Linked DNA regions of Arabidopsis thaliana. The main gene of each other region encodes a partner of the protein of the gene in region 3 in a complex. Each region holds a gene or a part of one and is shown on either strand. Other genes may lie near its edges.

Region 1 (6,082 bases), on a different chromosome or scaffold from region 3:
GTTTAGATTAAGGTAGAGAGTAATGTCGAGCTCTTATCAACATTTTTCATGGTTTGAGGCTTGAAGAACATTCACGTTTTTCAAGCTCACTCATGTGGACAACCTTGGCCCTTGTCTGAGAAGCAGCTTTTTCTCATATTCAGTTTTTCTAAATTTGTTGTTTTAAAAAAAAAAATTGGTTTGTTTTTTTGGCTGTTCTATGATGATTATATTGCTTTAACCACACTGAAAAGATGGGCTTGAGAATGTGATGTGGTTCTTCTTGATTTAATCCAAAGAAAGAGTTCTTGAGCTATATGTATTGCTTGATGACACTTTGATCTAAAATACTTGAAGGGGATTTGTTTCCCTTTGTGTTTTAGATCAAGGAAGAGATCAGTGTAGAGCTCTTGTTCGATATTTTTCTTAGTTTAAATCTTGAAGAACATTATCATTTTCTCAAGCACTCATATGTGGAATCATTGTGCCCTTTGTCTGAGAAGCAGCTATGAATTCTGTTTTTGTCTTCGATATTGTTAAACGTAGCTGATTTGTAAGATTACTTTGTGATCTTTTTTGGATGCTTGATATGTATCCAACCAAGAGTGGGTTTCTTCTTACAAAGATATTGAGTTAGGAATTTTAATGTCATTTTATGTTCGAATTGGGGAAAATTCACAAAAAATTGGGAAAATAGAAGAGAGCATTATTCGATGTTTACCACATGGTGGAATAATTTGACAGAACAATGTACTTTGGGAATGACATATGGAACAAACTGTGTAAACCAATTTGATGATGAAGGTGAACGAGTTACATATAGGAGACTTACACTTCCATAATAATATTCAGAAACTATATGAAAGTGTATCTTTCTTTATTACTAAAACTCTTTTCTAATAAGAAATGTGTAAACTATGTAACTCGGCAACGGTTCCAGACTCTCTAATCCTAAATCAATGTTAAAGGCGTAAGGCTCTTGAACCTGTTCATTGTGAGCTTTGAACTAAGTATTCAATTTTTTGGACAATCCGAAAAACACAACAGTATAACTACAAATGGATTAGTCCCATTTGGGCGTAGTCTCATTCGTTTGGACGAGAAACACAACGAAAAACCTAGCCAATTTTGTTGTTCTCATGTATGGGCTTAATTGGGGACTAATCCATCTGTGGTTCCCCTTGTTTCCATAGTTCGTAATTTTATTCGTTTTTCGTCTTAAGTTTTCCCTTCTTTAGGTTTAGTTTCCGGAGATATTTTTGTTTTCCGCCGGCTTTGTGTTTCAAATTTGTATTCCACCCTTTGTATTTCACAACCTATAATACAATGGAAAAATTCTGGATGAAAAAAAGAAAAAGAACACAGTATATAGAAAAATCTGAATCACAGTACTAACATCATTGATTTTCTGCTACAAAAATGAGTGTACACTGATTCTTAAAATAGATACGGGCTATAACATAACAAAAAGAAAAAGTGGGGGATGGCTTTTGCAATAATCTCGAAAGAGTTTCTCACTCACATCACACCCTTGGTTTATAAATAAAACTCATTGATCTTGACGGTGAAAATATCGCCACCTGTTAATTTGTAAAAAGGTTTCAGTACACTTAGCTACACTGGATCCAAGTCTAGTGCTAAACTCAAACCTCGTGGTTTTAGACCAAAATCTCTTCTTCTTCGTTTCCTTCTTCCTCATCATATCTTTCATCTTCTCCACCAGAATTTGTTTTAGGCTCTCCTTCTTCTGTTTCTTTTTCTCCCAAAGAAACAATTAGATATGGAGAACCTTACCCTAGTTTCTTGCTCAGCTTCTTCTCCAAAGCTGTTAATTGGATGCAATTTCACTTCCTCGCTGAAAAACCCTACTGGGTTTTCTCGTCGGACTCCTAATATTGTCCTCCGGTGTTCCAAAATATCTGCCTCTGCTCAATCTCAATCTCCCTCTTCGCGTCCGGAGAACACTGGAGAAATCGGTTAGTTTGCAAATTCCACTCGACACTCTATTATAGCAAATGCCAAAATTTTCCGGAAAAATTTCCAGTTTATTACTTTTATCTATCTTATTGAAACTCAAATTGCGAACCCTTTTCGACTGGTTTAATATGAGCTTATGAATTGCTATATCTCTTAAAAAAATCCACACTTTGTGAATTTGCAATTTGAATTCTTGTAGAAACCATTCATTGTTAGAATTGTTTACTTTAAGTTTATGTTCGATTTGCAGTGGTTGTGAAACAGAGAAGCAAAGCTTTTGCAAGTATATTTTCTTCGAGTCGTGATCAACAGACAACTTCTGTTGCTTCCCCTAGTGTGCCTGTGCCACCACCATCTTCATCAACCATGTAATTTTCCTGGTTTTGGACAATGTGCTTAGTTTGTATGTCGTTTGATTCTTGGTTATTAAATTGTGTTTTTTCTTTTTTCTTGTAGAGGATCACCACTTTTCTGGATTGGTGTTGGTGTTGGTCTATCAGCTTTGTTCTCATATGTGAGTATCAAGATTCCTTCCTAATTTTTTTTTCCTCTATAAATATTCTTTCTTGCTTCAATATTGATTAATAAGTGCTTGACCTTTTTTCTTTTCTGATGGCATTGCAGGTAACTTCAAATTTAAAGGTACAGATACTTGGCCCTCTGGTTTTACGGGACTTTTGTTCTCTAGTCTGTTGCAGAACCACGATTTTATGCTTCATGTCAACTCTAGTGTATTGTGCTCATGTATCTGAGATAGTTTTATTCACTAAACTGGTTATCTTAACAAGGTGAACTGTTTGCTCACACTTGTTGAACCGTTTATATAAGCATCGAACTTTTGCCTCTCTTTTTTTGGGTAGTCACTTGATTCGTAGATGGTAACCTACATACCATTATGGTTTTAGTGATGCAACTCAGGTATTCAGACTTATAGTCATTTTCGCAACTCCAGTATTTGATTGAAATATATTATACAAGTTGTCATTGCTTTCTCTCATTATTCTCTAACCGGCTGTTACTCTCTTTGGATTTTTTTTTTTGCTTTGGTTTAGAAATATGCAATGCAAACAGCTATGAAGACGATGATGAACCAAATGAATACGCAAAATAGCCAGTTTAATAATTCTGGATTCCCATCAGGATCACCTTTTCCGTTTCCATTTCCTCCTCAAACAAGTCCTGCTTCCTCGCCATTCCAATCTCAATCCCAGTCTTCAGGTGCTACCGTTGATGTGACAGCGACAAAAGTAGAGACACCTCCTTCAACTAAACCGAAACCTACACCTGCAAAGGATATAGAGGTGGATAAGCCAAGTGTTGTCTTAGAGGCAAGCAAAGAGAAGAAAGAAGAAAAGAACTATGGTAGATTCTTTTTCTGTTTCAGAAATCAACGTCTTTTCATTTGTATTCTCAATTTTGACTTTCTTCCTTTCTCATTTTCCAAGCTTCTAACTTGGAAGCTGATTTACTTTTGGATGCAGCCTTTGAAGACATTTCACCCGAGGAAACCACAAAAGAAAGCCCATTTAGCAACTATGCAGAAGTCTCTGAAACTAATTCCCCCAAAGAAACTCGCTTGTTTGAGGATGTAAGTTTCGTTTTCTTTTGTATTTCCACAGCACACCAAGTGGTGATTTAAAAACGTGACATAGTTTTGCTAACCTTCTATGCTCTCTTATTGATCTCTGGGTGAAGGTCTTGCAAAATGGAGCTGGTCCGGCAAATGGTGCCACTGCTTCAGAGGTTTTTCAATCTTTGGGTGAGTTATTGAATTTCAGTTTTCATCACTATCAGCGCACTGTGCATGATTCATGATTAAGGCTACGGATTTCAATTTTATTTTATAGCATATGCCAACAATTATAAACAAAGGAAGATATGAAATTGGTGATAAAGAGGAATGAGTTGGCTTCAAAAGGATCTACTCCGTTACTTTTGTCCTTCTGCTAGTCGTTGATCTGTATTGGTATAACCATATAAGACTTGCAGGATATTACCTTGGCAATCTGTTTCATATCTCATGTGTTATGATTCTTTTTTCTTATATGCTCACGTTATTGTCTCTCTTTTCCTTATTCTAAATTTAAAACTGAATCCTGAGTCTGTCTATTGTTTACACAGGTGGTGGGAAAGGAGGGCCGGGTTTATCTGTAGAAGCTTTAGAGAAAATGATGGAAGATCCAACAGTCCAGAAGATGGTTTACCCGTAACTCATCTTCCCTAGCACATTGTCTTTAAATGCATCCATTAAGTTTATCTTTAAAACTGGTTGCTTAGTGGACATTTGGTAACATTGCATGTATAAATGCAGATACTTGCCTGAGGAGATGAGGAACCCAGAAACTTTCAAATGTAAGTCTTTTAATATTTAATCCTGCTATCATTCTTTTATTAGTCCTCATTTTTACATATTTCTAAAGACTAAAGGTTACATGACTAGCTTTTGAATGATGTAATTCGTTTATAGGTTGATCCAATGGTTATCTAAATTTAAAATACAGTTTGGTACTTATTGTCTCCGCTTGGAATTTTGTAGGGATGCTTAAAAATCCTCAGTACCGTCAACAACTACAGGACATGTTGTAAGAGCTCCATTTTACGAACAATTTAGTTGTTTCCATTGCTTTTAAGAATGTCTAAACTATGTAATTAAGAAATACTCTTGTTTGTTTCTTTTCATGAATTTAGGAATAATATGAGTGGGAGTGGTGAATGGGACAAGCGAATGACAGATACATTGAAGAATTTTGACCTGAATAGTCCTGAAGTGAAGCAACAATTCAGTAAGACAAATCTCAGTTTGTACCAAGTTAATAGTACGTTAAATAGGTCTGATACTCAATGATTGAATCTGTATTTGTCAGATCAAATAGGACTAACTCCAGAAGAAGTCATATCTAAGATCATGGAGAACCCTGATGTTGCCATGGCATTCCAGAATCCTAGAGTCCAAGCAGCGTTAATGGAAGTACGTTTTCTTTTAACCTGAATAAGAGAATTGCTTAATTTTACCCCACTTCTTTCTTCATACAAAACAGAAACCAATTACATTCTTGTTGTTGTTGCAGTGCTCAGAGAACCCAATGAACATCATGAAGTACCAAAACGACAAAGAGGTAATAATACTGCCACTTCTCCATTGCCCAAAAAGGCGATTACTTTTTTAAGAAATTTGAGGTTATTATACATTGATTGCAGGTAATGGATGTGTTCAACAAGATATCGCAGCTCTTCCCAGGAATGACGGGTTGAAAAAGCTCACGTCTTTGGTTCTATCAAAAATGTCACATTGTCTTTAGCTTTTTGTAGGGAGAAAAAAATGTTTTTTTTTTTGCAAAGAGTCTTCAGTTTTGGTCAGATCAGAGAATTGTGTACCATGTTAATCTTAAACGCGGTCGGGAATTGGAGTCGTGTGAAAACGCCGCTGCTGTTGTTTGGTATGAATATTATACAATAGAATTTGTTGTCTTACCAAAAAAAGTCTATGAAGACACTGAAGAGCAAATTATTATTTTTAAGGGAAAATTTCCAAAATAAACTTCATGTATTCAAAATTTGCTTGAAAAAACCTCAATTTTTTTTGTTTGAGATTGTGTGAATAAATCTGCCAATATTTTGTTTTAGCAATTTAAAAAATTGAAGTTTTTTTCTCGCAAATTTTAAATAGTTGTGATTTATTTTGGAATTTTACCTTATTTTTAATATCCAAAAGGAGAAGTGACGTGGCGATATCGAAGCGGTTTAATGAAGTGATGGCCCCATCTTAAAGAAATCAATGACCCTTATCGTTCCACTTCTATCGGAGTCGGAGTTTTTTTTTGTTGTTGTTGTATTCCGTACGTCGGTCGTTGTCGGGAGAATTGGCGCGTGAAATCCTTGGCTCCGTCGAATACGTCTGCCTCCGACGGCTGTGAGTCGCATGATTGAGTCGTGGGTAAGTATCCTTGTGACTTCAAATTTGTATTTCCGTTCTTTATAATCCCCTGACTCTTGAGAAAATCGAGGAGAAAAAACCATCCTTGCTTGGTATTCATTTGAAGAGTGTTTTAGTTATAAAATCGTAATGTTTGACGGTATGTGATATTCTGTGAGCATGATTATTCAGAAAGCTTTTGTCTTTTTAGTA
Region 2 (4,716 bases), on a different chromosome or scaffold from region 3:
ATGTTACAGATTTGTTCACAAAACCTCTACCAACTACAACTTTTGAAAAATTGGTACAAAAGACCATAGGCTACAATTGGTTGGAAGAATAAAGAAGAGAAAAAATGTTAGTAGGTGCAATATGCGACGACGGAGGAAGTCAAGCAAGCAACAAGTTTAGTTCTGCTGTCAACATCGCTTACTTACGCTTCAGGAAAGGATCAATGCTTTTGAAACAATCTCATCTCCTTTTCTTTTTCTTACTTCAACTTGTTTTTTTTAAGGCAGTAACAATTAGTAAGGATGAAAATAATCACATTATCATTAAGCTGAGATGTCAAAGCGATTATGATGAGAGGAAAAGAAAATGAAAATAAGTATTGGTAAGACATCTTAGTTTTAATAATCGTATATCAACCAAATTTGATCAATAATTAGCTTAAACCAACATATCATTTTAGAGGCCTCAACCTCCTTTGAATAATTAGGCTGATACTACATTCTAATGACAGATGAATAACGTACATCTCCACTTTTTAAAACAAACAAGATTATGTTATTTGATTTAGGTATCCGTATATGCCAAATATATTTTTCTGGATGTAAGAACCACGAGTAACATGTTGATGATGTGTTTAAGTGGTAAAAGGAGAGGAGAAAACTAAATTTTGGGACTGTGTTGAGCTCTTTGGGCAATTGATAATATTGCAAAATCTCAAAAGAGGCTGTTTTTTTTTTATCAAGTAAAAATACACACATTGTGTCTATTATGGTTTTACTCTTTGATCAAATCCTGCATGTGTTGTGCATAACTTCTTCCCGGTGGAATGAATATTACATCTTCCCAACCTGAATTCTTCTCGCTCATCTACATTGATTCAATTCAGATTTTTATTAGACTACCAGGTTTTCATACTTTAAGGTTTCTTTAAACAAAGAAGAAGCGTGAGTACCTCCATTTTCCTCAACACATCTTCCAGACTCCCAACCTGCAAAACAAAAAGATTAGTTCCATGGTGAAGATAAGAAAACTCTTAACAAAACCAATGCTGTGAAATTACTTTATATATTGATCTCTGATATGCAACTTTGATAACGATAAACCTTGGAATTCATTTTAACTCAGATATATGAAGGCATGTACAATCTGAATTCCGCTCTTTCTAAAGTTTTCTAAGACTTTTCCCTTTCCCTCGCTGTTCCTTTGAAAACATGGTGTTATATGTTTGCAGAACATGTAATCACAAAAAATGCTAGAAATTACATATGATGCCAACACAGCTACTAGCTACTCCCACTTGTTAGTAAACCATGTCTTTAGATCAAGGTGTTTGTTTCTATCTTACGTGGCCTATCGAAGATTCAAATACATAGAAGGTAGGTATGAATCATTACCATAATTTGTTGATCTCCTCTTGATGCTCTCGTATATTTAGAAAGTTCCCTCTCTATATCTTCCTGAAAGTGGTCACGCAGAACAGGAAAGTAAGAGTTATCTTCCTCTGTTTTGGCTTATGAGAGATCTATTAGTATTCTTTAACGTGGGAGAAGAAACTAACCAACCTTACTGAAATATACAGGGCAGTAACGTCTATTTTTTTTCCTCACAACAAGAAGCTCAGACTGTAGAGGCCAATAACAACAGATAGATATCAAGAGAAAACAAAGCAAAAACACCAAAACATAAGGAATCCATATTGGTATAATAGAAAAACACAGAAAATGAGTATATCAATTTACCTGAAAAACCGGAACTCCATCAAACCCATTCTTATTTCCTGAGGATTTGAGCTGAGACGCAAGAAAATATAGCTTATGGATAAGATTGAAATGCCAAATAAATGCTATAGACACATATAATTAAAAGTCTGTTTAGCATGAGCCAACCTCTAACGCATTCTTTATTTGGATTGGATCTGGCAAGAAGCGAAAGGAAATCCCTTCAACTTTTAGCAAGTACACCTGTAAACAACATCATCTTAACTTCTGGGAATGTAGCTACCACGATTACGCAAATAACATCAAAAAGTTCCCTAAACGTAGTTATAACTTATAAGTTCCAAGCCATTAGAGGGATTATAATCATGCCATCGTTGCATTCTTTCTTGTGACGATGTTGTCAACATTGCTACGTGCACAAGAACACAATCTCCCGTTCATTCAAACTGCCAACAGGTGTTCCTATTACCGTATAATATAAACAACTAAAATGAGGCCAGACATGAACAAGTCTACTTAGAATTTGAGCTCCTGAAATTTGTTTGTTTCATTTGATTTAACCAATGGCTTCTTCCACATTGATCTAATGCAGTGATCATAAGGAAAGGGAACTACCTGGTCCAGAGTAATGGGAACAACCTTCGCATTGGTTTTCAATTCTCTTCTCCGAAGTCGCGCCTAAAGGAGTATATTAGAGAATTATGAGCTCAGAAACTTCACATTTTTTTAAAAAAGTTCGGAGGAGAAAAATACAACAAAAAGCGAAACCTGAGCAAGAAAAGCTTCAGCATCCTCTTGTCGAAAACAGAGCAAACCGATAGACTTGCCTCCGGTAGGATCCGAGATAAGAACGAATTCGTTATTGGTGTTACTGACTGTAAACACCGACGTCCCAGCGAGAGCTTTAGCGACAAGAGATGGACTCAACGTCGTCGTCGGGGTTCCAGACTTGGATTGTGAGACGGAGGCGAAAGGCGGCGGAGTAGGAAGAGAGAAACGTCGAGTAGCTAGGGTTTCGGCGAATCGTTTCGTGTCTTCGATTCGGGCGGAGAGGTCGGAGCTGAAGCGGGTACACTGGTGGTGAATGAAAGAAGAGAAGGAGAGGAAAGGATTGGGTTTCACTGATGACTCCATTTTTGGATTTGCAGAGAGAAGAAAGAAGTAGAAGAAGAAGAAGCAATTTTTGATACTATGAAGAGAGTGAAGAAAAAGGCTTCAGAGCAATTCGTTTGGGCTTTTTTATTTGGGCTTTATTGGACTTGATTGGTTTTAGTTTACGTTTAATATGGCCCTTGATCAAAAGTTTGGTGACAAAGCATTTATTAACTTTCTAAACTCAACTTCCACACCATTCTAAACACATGACATGACTTACAAAAAGCTTTTGTCACTCAAAATTCATGTCGATGACATTTTTTTCCTCCAAATTTCTCCTCCTTATAAAATACTTACTAGATCAAGCAAACAACACACTAAAGAAAACAAAATTGTTAAAACTCTCGTTAACTGAAAAATATGAGGAACATTACTACTACAACCCGAAAAATGTTACTACTTGTGATTACGATTTTATTGGGGATTGCGTATCATGGAGAAGCCATAGCATGTCCGCAGGTAAACATGTACTTAGCACAATGTTTGCCTTATCTAAAAGCTGGAGGAAATCCGTCTCCAATGTGCTGCAACGGACTTAATAGTCTAAAAGCCGCAGCGCCTGAGAAAGCCGATAGACAAGTAGCTTGTAATTGCTTGAAGAGTGTAGCTAATACAATCCCTGGAATTAATGATGATTTTGCCAAACAACTCCCTGCTAAATGTGGTGTTAATATAGGAGTCCCTTTCTCTAAGACTGTGGACTGTAACAGGTAGCTACTGCAGTTTCTTTTTAATATTGCCGAAACATGTGTAGTTGTGAGAGCTTCTAACTACATAATCCTCTAATTGACCTATTTAATTTGTTTTGTGAACACTGAACAGCATAAACTGAAAAGAAGATTGACTACCAACGGCCATGCAGCTACAATAAAGTGGATATCCTAAAAGATCAAAACCATCATGAACAAATTATATGGATACTTAGTATTTATCTTCTGATCATATATGTTATAGATGTAATCATATAGTTCTTGGCAGATAAAATGTGATTATTTCCCACATTTACATATTCCCTCTTTCCTACTCTCACACGTAGCTCAACATCTTAAAATATGATCATCAGCATTTGCACACAATGTTTCACATTTATTTGACATACACGATCAAAACGAAGCAGTTTTGTAACAAGATAAAAATCGATTGGGTTAAAAGTGTAACGGGAGAAGTAAAAATGTAGTCATCACTCATCATAGTGACTGAATTCAAGGGAATATTATTCTTCGAAATACCTGAAAGATGGGAAATTTGAATTTCAGTAGTGAATGACGCCCAGACTCTTCAACCAAGGGAGCATCTCCTCCAATCCTTCCTTTAGGCTTCGAGGGTTATAACCAAGTTCCAGCTTAGCCTTATCACAAGAGTATGACCACTGATGTCTCAGCACTGTCACTGTCTGTTCATCACAAAATACTAAGAGTTGAGATTATTCTATACCTAATAAGATAATCTATAATATGTGGGCAACTAATGAATGCAATTGAAACTCACCGGAGGACTGATAAGTGGAAGCTTTCCTGTAACCCGAGAGATTAAAACAGATAACCATCCGTATGCGTTGATGGCCCATAATGGAATGCTAAAGTTTGGCTTTTTGGTTCCAGTAATCAGTGCAGCCATGTCAAAGACAAGCTTGAAAGAAGCATTTTCCCCAGTGAGTAAGTATCTTTCACCAAGCCTACCTTTTTCCATTGCAGCAACATGACCCTCCACAACATCATCAACATGGCTGAAGGAGTATCTATCCGTCCCAGAGCCAATATATCCAGGCAACCTCCCGTTAAAGCGCTCGATCAACTAGAAGAACAACATCATGTGATAATCAACCACATACTGTCAATGTACCACTACATCATCCCACCAATG
Region 3 (4,092 bases):
CGGTCACTGGATTATGCTCTTGAGCACATTAGGAATGGAGAATGTAAAAGCGAGAAACAAAAGAAGAAAAGGAGCAGAGGTGGGAAAAGGAAGCGTGGGAAGAAGTTTGCAGAAGCAGCTAAAGCAGCGAAACAGGAAGAGGAATCGAAGCCAGATTTGTTTAGCTTAATCAATGAACAAATTTTTCCTACCCGCCATGAGAAAGTACACAGCGAGTCTGTAAAAAATAGGCAAAACAAAGGTCCAGTAGACAGGAAAGCTTTGGTTGAATACCAAGATGAAGTCAGAGACTTGAAGTTAGAAATGTTGAAACTAGAACAGATGGTGAACAGAAACAAGAAAGATCTAGTTGTTTCAGAGGCTGCGACGAGAAGATTGAAAGAAGTCCGAAAGGCATTGGCAAGTACATTAGCATGTCAAGCAGCTGCCTCAAATGCTATAGTAAGCAAAGAGAATGAGAAGAAATGGCTCAAGTTTTAGAACATAGAACTTTAAACCAGTTTAACAGAAATTTCATGGTTAAACTGTAAGATTGATGGCAAACATTGGAACCTTCTGAATTATATAATTGCGTTTACAAGCAAAAATTTATTTCATGAAATACATATTGTTGGAAGAAGAGGAAACATGACACTATACATTTTCATAGTCTTCTGTGTGTTCTAATGAAGTTATTGGTGTTTAGATTTATAGCTCTTAAGCAGGTATAAGCTGCGGCTGAGCACAATGCTGCTGAACCTAACAGGACAGCCTTCCACTGTCTACTAACCACCAGAATGGCCAAAGCCGTCAAAGCCACTGCCGTGGCAGAGAGGATATTTTTCCAGAGCTCAAAAGATTTGATCACATTGCTGCAGCTTCTACAATGAATAATATGTCTGAAGTACCGGTTAGCCAAATTGGGAGCATGCATAGTCCCAATTCCGCCTTTTGCAGGGTAAGAAGCAGAGAGAGCTGCAATGAGCCCTGCCGGGGCATGTTCCACGACAGGAGGGACTTTGGGGAGAGATATGGTCCTATGCCCGAAATGGTAAGGCATCCCATGACCAACTTTGTCCATCCACTTTCTATATTCAGCGACCCATGTGTCCGATGACTTTAGATTCAAATACAAGTCCTTAGTTGGTACTTTCTCCTTCATCAGAACCTCATTTTGAGACGATAGAAACCCCATGTCTTGTTCAAAAACCTTGCAGGCATTCTGATGCCAGAACCATTGAGGTAACACCGAAACCAAAGGCGATCTTTTTGTGACCCCAAACCTAACAATAAGCATAGACTTCCCTTGCCCTGTAGGTCTACAAAGAAACAGCCCTGAAAAATAGTTCTTCACTCCATCCTTCCCCTCGAACTCTCGATTGTTCTGCAGAACACAAGGAGCATCAAACCGAAGTAAATTACTCCCTTTCCCACCTTCTTTCTCTCGGCCCCAAGTCCCTGCGAAACCCCGATTACTTCGCTCTGTGACCTCGAAAACCAAAGGCTGAGCATCTTCTCTTTTAGCAGTGAAATCCGTTCTATCATGAGAGATAGGAACATGAGCAGGATCCATCAGATTCTCTAAAAGAATGGAATGGTCATAAGGAAGCTCATGAGTAGTCGAAATGTCGAAAAAACCGGGTCTAGCGAAATTCTCAAACCAAGGAAGCTTCTCAGGGTTTGGAGGTGTCTTTGTTGACATCCACACCCACACAACTCCTTGTGAATCCTTCACCTCATACGTCTTCACACAAGCAGCCTTTGGAATCTTAGCACTTGCAGGAAGCTGTTAGAAACAGAACCCAAAACCAGTAAGTACAGAGTAAAGAGAAAATCTCGAAATAGCAAAAATCAGTAAACAAAGAACCTGAGGAATCTTGACACATTTGCCCTCTCCTTCAAATTGCCAACCATGATACAAACATTCCAATCTCCCATCAATCAATTGTCCTTCAGACAACTTAGCCAACCTTTATAAAAAAAAAGACAAAACTCAATTTCAGATTCCTAAACAAAAGTACAAAACTAGTGGTTGTGGTTTTGCTAGATGATTTATCTTACCGATGAGGACACCGATCTTCGTAACAACGAAGTGTTCCTTCACCGTCTTTATACAAAACAATTTGACGATCGTAGACGGTGAGGCCAAGAGGCGCATCTTCAGGGACGTTTTTAGTTAAGTACAATGGATACCATTCCTCTGTCCAATCATAATCCGCCACCTCAACACGTTTCTCTTCTTCAGGGTTTAAAAGAACATCTCCACCTCCTTCTGTTTGATCAGATACGGCGGTTCCAGCGACGGCGGAGCGGCGGAGGAGACGTAGACGAGGCTTTGTGGGTATAGTGCATGTTGATCTGTGGTTGTGGATTATTGGTGTTGGTGTTACTTTAGTGAAGAGAATCGGAGAAGTGGGTGTGAGTTGTAGAGAAGAGCTTAGAAATGGAACAGCCATGGCGGATTCTTCACTAGAGAGCTCGAATCCAATGTTAGGTGTTGTTTGCCTCTTCTCATAAAATATATCATAAGGTTGCTTGTTCAACCATTGGACCTCGTTCCACCACATACATAGATAGTAGAAACTTTGGCTAAACGACGTCGTTTATTTTTACGTTATTTAAATGTCATTTTAACTTCTTTTTATTTTATTTTTAATCTTTTAAGTTTTAACATTAGTCTTTTTTGCTTTAATACATTTCATAGTGATGAAAAAAAAACATAAAACTATGTTAATAGTGATTAATTATTTATTCATTGTTGATAATAATAACAATAAAAAAGGCTATACTATGCCTAAGAACAGAAACTGATAACATAATTAGCACTAGTACATGTAAATCTACTCGAAGCATAATCGTACACATAGCTATACGCAGTGGGACAAGCTCCTTTAAATATCTTCGAGTATTTCGTCGGCGGGCAAGTCTCCGGTTTACTGAAAGCGCCGGTGCAACAATACTCCGGTTTGTTAAAAGCCTCACAAGCACTCTTACACGCCACAACACCCGATGAGCCGTTAACGCGTAGCTCTTTTGGACAAATGGCATTCACGTCCGAAACACATCCCGCGGTTTTACAATTGCCTGAGCCACCTTGTGGTGTGATTTTCACCTGAACGTTGTAACCGTCGACGAGACTCACGTCGTAAGAATCTTGTACGGTGTATTTCTTTCCAGAGGAGCCGATTCTGAATTCTGCTAGTGTGGCTGGTGGTGCTCCTCTTGCACCGGTGCATTTTTACATTTTCTGGAACCAGAGGCGTTGAAGTTGCAGCCCGTTCGACCCCAGATTCGACCAGACCAACCTGGAGAAACGGTTAAGTTTACAGAAGAACCTGAAGCTAAGGCAAATCCGCCGCCGCGGAGTAGTGTGCGGTTTGCGGTTAGGATTCCGGGCCACACAGTAAAGTTGCAGCGGTTTGATAAAGTGAAGACGGTGCCGGAGACAATAGAAATTGTACCTTGAAGAATATACAATTAAAAAAAAATTACTAGGACGGACAACAAAAAAAAATTATCAGATAAATTATTAAATCAAAGTAGTCATCTTAAAATGTTGGAAATGTTTTATGTATACATGTGGCTATGATGAAGGAGAAGAAGAGAAGATGTAATTTGGAGAAAATAGCCATTGTTAATCTGAGTATTGAAAAGTTGAAGTTGTGATGATTAGTGAAAGTTGATGGTGAGGATCCTCTGTTTATAGTGTTTTTCTTTTCTTTAGAAACAAATCCATTAACTTATTGTTTTGGATACTACTACCATAAGTGACACTTCATATTTTTATTTTTTTTACTTTTAAAGTTTAATGAGATTTTGTTTCTTATTACATAAAAATCAACTTTATTAATCTTAAGGAAATCTCCGTAAGCATTGATGTTTTGGATTTTACACACATTAAAAATTAAACATTATTTTATGACTGTTTATTTTTTATATTAAATATTTTTAATAACTATAAACTAATACTCATTGATTGTAATCTAATAAATTTAATCATTGCATCCTGAACTTTGTGATTTATAATATCAGTCAATAAAGAAGAAAAGAAAAAAAAAACTACAAAATTAAAGTGGAATAAACTTAAAATGATTAGAAAAAGATGGAGTACAT

The links. Proteins that work in one complex are often made in the same cells at the same time.
Region 1: TIC55-II (region 3) and TIC40 share a complex: the UniProt entries of both Arabidopsis thaliana proteins name them as parts of the tic complex.
Region 2: TIC55-II (region 3) and Tic22-IV share a complex: the UniProt entries of both Arabidopsis thaliana proteins name them as parts of the tic complex.

The regions. Positions count from the first base shown.
Region 1 is NC_003076.8:5,449,049-5,455,130, forward strand, and holds TIC40 (hydroxyproline-rich glycoprotein family protein), read left to right. Parts: upstream 1-1,571; 5' UTR 1,572-1,759; coding exon 1,760-1,955; intron 1,956-2,206; coding exon 2,207-2,324; intron 2,325-2,412; coding exon 2,413-2,470; intron 2,471-2,580; coding exon 2,581-2,598; intron 2,599-3,008; coding exon 3,009-3,318; intron 3,319-3,437; coding exon 3,438-3,544; intron 3,545-3,651; coding exon 3,652-3,715; intron 3,716-4,077; coding exon 4,078-4,162; intron 4,163-4,267; coding exon 4,268-4,308; intron 4,309-4,492; coding exon 4,493-4,538; intron 4,539-4,644; coding exon 4,645-4,739; intron 4,740-4,820; coding exon 4,821-4,924; intron 4,925-5,024; coding exon 5,025-5,072; intron 5,073-5,154; coding exon 5,155-5,208; 3' UTR 5,209-5,529; downstream 5,530-6,082. UniProt on the Arabidopsis thaliana protein: Involved in protein precursor import into chloroplasts. Part of the motor complex consisting of a co-chaperone (TIC40) and a chaperone (HSP93) associated with the import channel (TIC110).
Region 2 is NC_003075.7:16,063,884-16,068,599, forward strand, and holds Tic22-IV (Tic22-like family protein), read right to left. Parts: upstream 3,015-4,716; 5' UTR 2,833-3,014; coding exon 2,467-2,832; intron 2,377-2,466; coding exon 2,314-2,376; intron 1,942-2,313; coding exon 1,867-1,941; intron 1,771-1,866; coding exon 1,720-1,770; intron 1,603-1,719; coding exon 1,543-1,602; intron 1,438-1,542; coding exon 1,375-1,437; intron 969-1,374; coding exon 933-968; intron 848-932; coding exon 755-847; 3' UTR 554-754; downstream 1-553. Other genes in the region: AT4G33355 (Bifunctional inhibitor/lipid-transfer protein/seed storage 2S albumin superfamily protein), read left to right, coding at 3,214-3,563, 3,676-3,685; FLDH (NAD(P)-binding Rossmann-fold superfamily protein), read right to left, coding at 4,106-4,246, 4,342-4,647. UniProt on the Arabidopsis thaliana protein: Involved in protein precursor import into chloroplasts. Imported into the intermembrane space via the Toc translocon. May be involved in the import pathway used by proteins without a cleavable N-terminal pre-sequence.
Region 3 is NC_003071.7:10,573,381-10,577,472, reverse strand, and holds TIC55-II (translocon at the inner envelope membrane of chloroplasts 55-II), read right to left. Parts: upstream 2,532-4,092; 5' UTR 2,436-2,531; coding exon 2,041-2,435; intron 1,950-2,040; coding exon 1,847-1,949; intron 1,766-1,846; coding exon 644-1,765; 3' UTR 535-643; downstream 1-534. Other genes in the region: AT2G24830 (zinc finger (CCCH-type) family protein / D111/G-patch domain-containing protein), read left to right, coding at 1-480; AT2G24810 (Pathogenesis-related thaumatin superfamily protein), read right to left, coding at 2,774-3,009, 3,092-3,226, 3,285-3,440, 3,557-3,611. UniProt on the Arabidopsis thaliana protein: Involved in protein precursor import into chloroplasts. Part of the redox regulon consisting of TIC32, TIC 55 and TIC62.